3 linked regions of the Kluyveromyces lactis genome follow. The protein of the gene in region 3 purifies or fractionates together with the protein of the main gene of each other region. This does not show direct contact. Links are inferred from orthologs where the notes say so. Each region holds a gene or a part of one and is shown on either strand. Other genes may lie near its edges.

Region 1 (2,709 bases), about 630 kb from region 3:
GGTCTCATGGAATCTAATATTCAAGTCAACGGATTGGATGATAAGGTTCACGCCGAGGTGTTATGGTGGGGGAATCCCTTGCCGGATGTATTTGTCAAGAAACCGGTTGATTTAGTGCTAGCTGCGGACTGTGTGTACTTAGAAGCTGCTTTCCCATTATTGGAAAAAACACTGTTAGAATTAACTGATGGGGAGAATGTGCCAATTATTCTAATGGCATACAAGAAAAGGCGTAAAGCGGACAAACATTTCTTCCAAAAGATCAAGAAGAACTTTAAAATTGTAGAGATACGAGATTTTATTAACTTCGATAAATATTTGAAACAGAGAACTCATTTGTTTCAGCTTATGAGGGAGAAATAAAAAAATAGTAGTAGGGTGACAACTGACGTTTGTCAAATGCAAAGACACCCCATTTAGTTTGATCTTTTATGCTTTTTGTGATGCTCATGAAAGTACTTTCAATTCGTGAATTAACTATGAGTAACTTTATAGTTATAGTGACTTATATATACATGAAATTTTTATACAATAATGACAGTAAAACTCAGAGTTCTGACGGGAATAGTGTTCATTGGTTGTGTTTAATTGTGGAAGATCATAGTTGAATTTCCTCAACATCTTGATCAATAGGTTTTTGTTCTTCTTCGGTCTCGTTTGTCCAGGAAGCAGAAGGACTACTTGCTCTGGCAGCCATCAACTCAGCTTGCTGTAAGGCCTTTCTCTTCCATGTGTCAATGACCTTTTGTTCCTTAGCAATTCCGTATTCTATTGAAGTGGTATGGAAGACTGAACCGAACATTTCGGCTTCTTCTTGAGCAACTTGATCTTGAATTTCTTGTTGTATTCTTAGACGGTAGAACTCGAATCTAGCTTGATCATATGCATCAATGAGTTCTTTTTTCTCTCCTGATTTTAATAGGAAAAGCGTCCTTTGTACAACTGATTCGCCATCCAATGGCTTGCCTAGTTGTTGGATATGAGACCAGTCATATTCTTGAGTCTCTAGGGTATTCTCAACAAGAATCTTAGGTCTTGAAAGTTCCCATGGATGTTGCTGGAAGAACAATTTTCTCAATTTATCCTCGATATATACTAATTTTGGGGACTGATATAGCTTCGATGCACCATCTTTCTTTTCCAAAGAATTTGGTCTAGTTTTGTATAATCCTGAAGAATTGGCCTTCCAATTGCTGTAATCAGGTAGTGCAGTTCTAGATTTACCGTTCATAGGATGTGTCAGTTGTGGGGTTCTAGCAAACTTCTTTGTTGGTGGTACCTTCGCTATAACATTGTACCAAGCTGGAGTCTTCTTCAAAATACCAGACTTCAAATAGGCGGATGTACGTTCTAGTACATTAACGGCTTCTTGCTGAACCTTCATTTTATATCTGACGTTTATATGGCCCGTTTACTCTATACTATCTCAGTAAACTCGCAGGTTCAAGCAATCGATCCAATACTTGTTGTCCTGGAGCTGTTCATACAGCATATTTGTGAACTTTTCAACTTTTCACTATAATTTCATTTTGGATCGTCGATCAGATTTTTCAAATTTTTCTAAGTAGAAGCATTCAATTTTTAGATCACGTGAAGAGTAAACATTTTTCACCAAAATTAAAGATCGAAGAGCTAAGTGTATGGGGAGCGTAAGTTCCTTTATTCTTTTCAATACAGTGGAATGATAACTGATGAACCTTAGGTTTCATCTCGTTCCTGTTTTGAAAGGTTCAGAGTAGATATTTTCTTCGGCAGAATATTCACGGTCACTAGCTTTTCTGAAAAACATGTCTGCCCTATTCAATTTTAAATCATTGTTACAAGTTATACTATTGTTCATATGTTCGTGCACATATATTCATGCACAAAGACCATCGCTCCTTGATCGTTATAAGGACAGCGGTATACTAGGAGTATTTTGGAAGTTTGCGAGAATTGGGGAAAGAGCTAGTCCTTATGTGTCTTTAGCTTGCATTGCCATGGCAGTTTCGCAATTCAACAGTTGATAAACCCAAGGGAAAAGATAAAGATAAGTCACAATTGCTATAGGTGAAAGCTCTCATTAGCAAGTTTGACCGGCTCTGAGGTCTATAGAATTATATTTTAAGTATAAAATTAGTTTAATCTATTATCGGGCGGCTATTGGATTCGTTTGCGGGCTTGTCTCTTTGCATCAAATAATTAAGAATTAATATGTACTCTTTGAATCTGACTTTGAGTTTCAAAATTCTACAACAAACAAAGAAGTTGAAAAGTGCAACATATTTTAATACTCTAAGCTATTAGTAAAGGAGAACGATTGCGTAAGTTTTCGGTTTACTAATTATTTATGGCATATTTGATCCACTCTATTTAAACTCGTACACTTCGTTTTGGCCATGAGCCAATACTGCCGCGCGTTTAGATCCTACGACTCTCTCTAGAGAAAGACCGTCCATCTTACTATATATGCATCTGACAGTTGAAATGTTGATATCACAGTTGCCTAAAAATACGTTCTTACCAATATTGCGAACAACTTCAGAATAGAATTCAGGATTTCCCGGAGGCTTGTAGAAAATTACACTCTTGACGTTTTTTATTTCGTACCTTCTAAAGTGGTGCAATCTTTCTGTGTATAACAAGACCTTCACCTTTCCGTGTTGGAATCTTGCTCTATTGGATGTCAATTGTTTCTGGTTAGAGTACTCGTTGATTTCTCCGAATATG
Region 2 (3,319 bases), on a different chromosome or scaffold from region 3:
AAGGTGGTAATGACGTGAACAATAGAATACAGGACTTCGAACAACCCTTTACTAAGAGTGATTTGGAGCTTTTGGAGAGAACCTATAGAAAATTTGCAGAAATAGAAATCGACGACAAACAATGGAATGAGCTCAAGGCCATGGAGGAGCCATTGAACGGAAGAATTGTAGAATGTTCCAAAGATCAGGAATCAGGTGCATGGAAACTACTTAGGTTCAGAGACGATAAACTCAATGGTAATCACGTATCAGTCGTTCAAAAAGTCTTGGAAAGTATCGGTGATTCTGTTTCATTGGATGATCTAGAACAAGTGGTAGATGAAATGAGATCTCGCTGGAAAGAACGTGAACAAGGACTGAAAAATGCACAAAAACAATTCAACCATCAGGCTTCTGCGAGATCGTCGCTGTCGCAGCAACATTCAACCGAACCAGAGCAGTCGCAAGATCAACCAAAATATGTAGACGATGACGATGATAATTGGTCTGATGACGAGCCAGACACAAAAAGACAGAAGATTTAAGAATCTTGCGTCAAGTTAAAAGCATAACATATACACGAGCATATGTGCTCATATTATATTTCTTTCCTGTATTTACATGGGTTTTTTTGTAATATATAATATGTACAATTAGAATGGATATAGTGTAATACTCTTGAGCAATTCCCTTGGATTACCATTACCACTTAAGAAGTACTTTTCTTCGGTAAGCTGTTCGAAGGTTTTGTTCTGTAAATCTTTGTCAAGTACGATACCCGCCTTTTGGTAGAACTCCATCAATTTGGCAACTTCATCTTTATTAAGTTTGGTAACTTCGAACTCCTGTACTTTACCCTTTAGTAACTTTTCGGCCAAAATTTGTTCATAGTGGTATCTGGTCAAATATGGATCGTGAGGAAGCTTTTGCAAACCAATTGATAACGTTCTATTGGTTCTATCCAAACCCGAAGTAGCCAAAACAACACAGCTGTCCTTAGCAGCGAATTGCAAATCGCCAGAGACTAAATCAAAAATAGATTGACCAACCTGGAATTTTAAAATATGAATATTTTTGTTGCTTGTGTCTTTATATGCTGTGAATGGTGTAGTCAAAAGATGGGAGAAGTTATCAACAGTGAAATAGACCGGATGATCAGTTTGGTTAGTTAATTCTTTAATGAATGCATCGAAAACGGCTCCACGGTGACGAGATGGTGCCTTGACACTTAGTAAATCGTATAACGTGGATTTACCTGCAGATAAATTCACATTTCTCTTCACAGATAGGTCTTTACCCCCAGAGTGAACTAATTTATAGTCTTTGGAGAGTTTAATGGATTGCAATAATTCTTTTTTGTTGGATTTGACAAATTTGGTTAATAAGTTCTTGATGTACATTGGTTGAATGTATCTGTCTTCATCCAAGAAGAAGTCATTTCTACCATTTGTAAGAAGTTCGGAGTTGGAAACAGTTAACACAAGTCCCTTGTTTTCTAGTGCGTGAGCATGTAGCTGGGCCAGTAGAGTAGACTTACCCACACCTGGTTCACCTGTTAGAACAAGCTTTTTGTTTTCTGACTTCCGTAAGGCTTCGTACAATTTTCTAGTGGTGGAATCTCTAACTAGTGATATTGGACGTGTGAACAATTCATTGAATTGATTTTGCTTGAATGAACCCAGACGATACAAGAATTGTAATTGCTGCTCTGAGAAAGAATGGACATCTGCGGCACTGATGTTATTAGGATTAAACATGGGCAGATCGACAAAAGTTGCATTTTTATGTAAATTAGCCGTTGCAACAGCTGGTTGCCATCTCTTATACATGGAACCAGGAGTAATTCTTTTGGCTGCTGCCTTAGTTCCTGATTGAGCCTTAGCGAACCCTTGGGCTTTCTTCTTAGCTGCAGCCTCTACTGCAGCACTGCAGGAGAACTGTCTGGTATGTATTCTCAACATGATCGAAATATATCTTACGGGTCCGGATATCTCTAAAAAGAAGTGAAATCCGTCTCACTAATATAGCTTCTTTTTTACTAAATCACACTTCTGTAATTATTCTTAAAACCAACACAAATTGACTTATTAAAGTGGATTATTTCACGTAGTTCTGTTATTCTTTATCTATGTCACTTGAAGTCTGCCTGCTACTGAAGTAGTTCAAATTTCGAAAATTTTTCAGATATTGAAATCATTAAAGCTTAAGAGAAAATAAAATATACGTGTCACGTGAAAACACTAAGAACTATGGAAGTATATCTATTAAAGGGAAGAACGAAACACGCAATGCTATAAATGGTGTCGGACAGAAGATCTTAATCCTGTAGTTGGATACCTCTTGCTGTGAGGAAATCAAAGATTGGCCTTTGTGGTTTTTTGCCCTTTTCGTCGGATGGAGTAGGATCTGATGGAGCCTTTTGTTCCAAATCTTCGGTAACAAGTTCCACTGCTTGAGAGGGTTGCTGTAGTTCTTGCCCCTTCAGCTGCTGTTGTTCTTGGCTAATATTATATGAAGGGTTGAAGGTGTCGATGTACGAAAAAAAGGCGTTGAAGACGTTTTCATTGACTTCTTCAAGGTAAATTTTATCGTAGATATGTTTCATCTTGAACGTATCCATTTCGCTTTGATATTTACTGAAGTCAATCGGATCATATCCGAATTCTTGTAATCTAGTGTTGTAACCATCATAAACCGGGGCTTCCAATAATAAACCTAAAGCAGGGGCTTTTGGAATATTGATTTTTTCTTGACCGTATGCCTGCCTAATTCTTTCCAATGGACTGAAACATCTTGTGATCAAAGTTGCCATAGATATCATCTTACGAATTTGATGTAACATAAACGATTGACCGTGGATTTTGATCGATACCCATTCCGTCTTAGCTTCACCAATAACAAACGGTTCTGAGACTGTGATTTGCTTCATGAATCTCTTGGCGCTCGGATCGTTGAAATCTTTCCCCAAGGTGAAATTATGGAAGTTAAAAGTACCCTCGTATTGTTTTAATGCACTTCTGAATCTATCTAAACGTTCTTTTGAAATTCTGTAGGCTCTCTTGTGTTCTGCTTCGAGTTTCTTGAATGCTTTGCTCTTTTGATAAGTTTCATTGTTTTCATCAAAAGAATCTTTCGGCATGACAAAAGCTGCAATCTCTTCCAATTCCTCCTTGGTAAACTTAGATTCAGCCTCAGTAGAGAATGCTTCCCAGAATTGTGCACTTTCTACATCATCTTGGATAACATTCGGTATTTCCTTCTTGCTAGCTTCAATCTCGTTGTATAAATAAGTAGACGGTTTTGGGCCAATCAGTGAATAAGTTGGTAACAGATACTCGTA
Region 3 (3,178 bases):
ATTGCAATATCACAGTTGCTCTTCAATAAGGTCTACATATTCAAAGATGCTGGCAACTCTGCACTAGAGGTCTGGTTAATATTGGAACTTGACACATTAGTTGACCTTAACACTGTCAAGTCCTCTATTGAGTTTGGTAAGGGTGTTCACTTCTCACACTCCCGGAAAAGGCTATTTCTTTCTTCTCCGGGCAGTTTTAATGGCGCTGGTGCTATCTGGAGTGTCTCTATGTCAGAAATGAAGAGAACAGTTGAACTTTGGAGATCCAAACATTTGCTCATAACCGCTTTAAAACACCTTGAATTCGTTAACCCCGAGCAAAAGAAAAAGGGTTGGTCTAATTTCGGCTCCAATTTGGCTGAGTCCCCATTAGATGACTTATTAGTTTCCATTCCACAATTTGGCTACGGTGACTTACATGACCTTTCGCTAATCGGAGCATTATTGATTCATTAGAATACATCACAATTACGTGAAATTTTTCGATATATGTACGCTAATTATCAATATTTACAAGATACATATGCCATTATAACGTCTATCGTCCGAGATATTTCCTGGTTATTCGGTGGAATCGCTGGTTTTTTTCTTCTCAATTCTGCGTTGCAGCTTTTCCTGCCTTTCCCGTTTCCGTTGCTCCTTGAGAGCTTTTTTATCAACTCCATTATTAGTATTTACAAGATTTGGAGTTACTTTCATAATTATTCTTTGATTGATCAAACCTTCTTGTGTAATCTGTGATGAATATTCGCTGATTATTTCGTTTAGCTTCTCCAAAACCTCTTCCCTTCTTTTCATTTCCTTTTTAGAAATAGAAGATTCCTGCATCGCTTCTAATTCCTCCTCATCTATAGGTGACAAGTTAGAAGAGTCTTTATCATTAATGAAAAGAGCAATCTTGCTACCTTTTTCCAAATTAGAAACAATTTCACTACATTTCTGTTTTTTCAAATCATAATCCGATATTTGCCATGAAACCTTGATTGATTTCCAAGATGAATCCGCTTTCGAGTCTGGAGAGCGACGGCCAGTTTTCTTTATATTGACACCCAATTTTATAAGTTCTTCTTCTTTAATTTTAGATAGTTTGTCGGAATAATTCTTTAATGCCTGTCTTGTTGGCACTTCTTTGACAATGGGTAGACGAACATCTCCGGACGCAGCATTATCGATACTCACCATAGCTATCCCATTTATCTCAAGGTTAACGCCCTTCAAAAAGTTCCTAATATTGGCTTCTTCTAGCTTGCTAGTTTCTGGATTGATTGCCTTGATGTTACCCTTTGAATTTATTGCTAGTATTTCCTCTAGCACCGAGTTGGCAGCTGCCTGCTGTTTCTCTGTTCCACTATTCCATCTGAAAACAAGTTTTTTATTCCGTTGATCTTTATTACCGTTTCTATGGCGGTGTTTATCACGATTTTTATGTGGAGAATTGTTACCGCTCTTTCGATGTGTCGCTGGATTGTATGTTGGTAGGTTAAAAAGAAGATCCGATACAGCCCTTGATTCGTTCTGGAGAACCCGATTATTGCAAAATAAACGTATTGAAGAAATGCTGTATTTAAAAGTAGTTCTGAGCATCTGTATATAGTGGTACTTCATTTATTTCAGCCCAACGTACCACATTTCAAGGCAATTCTATCATCGGAGATGACTTGAACTTAATCAAATCAAAAAAATACAACTGTCTTTCATATTAAGATTTTGAGATATTCTGACAGAGAAGGGAAAGCGTTGATATCTGTCACGTGATCATTTTTACTAATATGTTGCTGGTTTTGCCTAGAGACTGACAGCTGAATAGGTTCAAACAAAAGAGAACAATAGAATGAAAATAAAGTCGATGCGAAATATTAATGTATTAAACGATGCAGATGTGAATGTAAGGATAAACCTTTGAACTATATATGTACGACAAAATGATATATATGTCAAAATATACTAATTGTATCTGAAATTTTGAGCATTTCAAAGAATAGAAAGTGCAATAGATAAAAGTCACTTTGTAATTTTAAGGAAGTTATTTTCCTACTATGAAAGTCCTTGTATTACTATGGTACAGATGAAGGTAGTTTAGTCATATTTCATCAGTTTTCTTCCTCCGATTAAATATCTCTTTTCAAGTCCCCACAAAAAAAGAGTTTTCTTAGTTTAAGGAATTCCTTCTGATGAATTTAAAGTAAAATGAACGATTTACTTCCATGTTTAAATTATTTTGTTTGATTTTGGATTGATTCTGAAAAAAGTTCCGAACGCGAATCTGTTTAGCTCCTTTATAATTCAACACCCATAACCATGGCTAACAATGCCATTCTGACAAACAAACCATATCTCATTTGTCTGAAGTAAGCTGCACGATGATCGTAGTCAACCTCTTCACGAATCTCATTAACACGAGGTAGTGGGTGCATGACCACCATCTGTTGTTTAGCATGAGACAAGATCTTATTGTCAACAATGTAAGTGTCCTTGAGCTTCAAGTAATCTTCCTCGGTTTCGAACCTTTCTTGTTGCACTCTTGTACAGTACAACACATCGGATTTGGAAATGATTTCAGGTGTTAGTGTTTCACTTTCAATACCTAATAAGCCAGAATCTTGCAATTCTTTACGCAAGGCATTAGGCAACCTCAATTCCTTAGGAGCGATCAAGTTAATTCTAACTTGGTAATGTTGTAGCAAACGACACAAGGAGTGAACTGGTCTACCGAACTTCAAGTCACCCATAAAGGTAACAGTGATACCGTTGACAGTACCCAATTCTTCACGAATAGTGAATAGATCCAAGAAGGCTTGAGTTGGATGTTCACGAGAACCGTTACCACCGTTGATGATAGGAACAGGTGAGTACTTGGCAGCAATGTGGGCAGACATTTCGTCTGGATGTCTCAAGACAATTGCATCAGAGTAACAGGCTAATGTTCTGATGGTATCTTGCAATGTTTCACCCTTCTTAACAGAAGATGCAGAAGTGTTAATGTTGACAGTTCTACCACCTAAACGTTCCATAGCAGCAATGAATGAAGATGATGTACGGGTTGATGGTTCGTAGAACATTGTAGTCAAAACACGGCTCTTCATGACGTCCAAAACACCTTCCCTTTCAACACCAGCTCTGAGCTCTTGAGCAACTGCGAAGAGAGCATGGAAATCAGAACGCTTGAATTGGTTAACTG

Evidence for each region.
Region 1: the proteins of AIM23 (region 3) and RSM25 purify together in Saccharomyces cerevisiae (affinity purification with mass spectrometry; 3 studies listed by BioGRID). This does not show direct contact. The link is inferred for Kluyveromyces lactis from reciprocal best matches to the Saccharomyces cerevisiae genes AIM23 and RSM25.
Region 2: the proteins of AIM23 (region 3) and RSM23 purify together in Saccharomyces cerevisiae (affinity purification with mass spectrometry; 3 studies listed by BioGRID). This does not show direct contact. The link is inferred for Kluyveromyces lactis from reciprocal best matches to the Saccharomyces cerevisiae genes AIM23 and RSM23.

What each region holds. Positions count from the first base shown.
Region 1 is NC_006041.1:743,820-746,528, reverse strand, and holds RSM25 (mitochondrial 37S ribosomal protein mS23), read right to left. Parts: upstream 1,385-2,709; coding exon 599-1,384; downstream 1-598. Other genes in the region: EFM6 (putative protein-lysine N-methyltransferase), read left to right, coding at 1-363; KSH1 (Ksh1p), read left to right, coding at 1,788-2,006; rRNA-binding ribosome biosynthesis protein UTP25, read right to left, coding at 2,349-2,709. UniProt on the Saccharomyces cerevisiae protein: Component of the mitochondrial ribosome (mitoribosome), a dedicated translation machinery responsible for the synthesis of mitochondrial genome-encoded proteins, including at least some of the essential transmembrane subunits of the mitochondrial respiratory chain.
Region 2 is NC_006038.1:197,218-200,536, forward strand, and holds RSM23 (mitochondrial 37S ribosomal protein mS29), read right to left. Parts: upstream 1,941-3,319; coding exon 633-1,940; downstream 1-632. Other genes in the region: CEG1 (mRNA guanylyltransferase), read left to right, coding at 1-524; pseudouridine synthase PUS1, read right to left, coding at 2,297-3,319.
Region 3 is NC_006041.1:1,376,526-1,379,703, reverse strand, and holds AIM23 (Aim23p), read right to left. Parts: upstream 1,606-3,178; coding exon 562-1,605; downstream 1-561. Other genes in the region: KLLA0_E15401g (uncharacterized protein), read left to right, coding at 1-456; URA2 (bifunctional carbamoylphosphate synthetase/aspartate transcarbamylase), read right to left, coding at 2,277-3,178.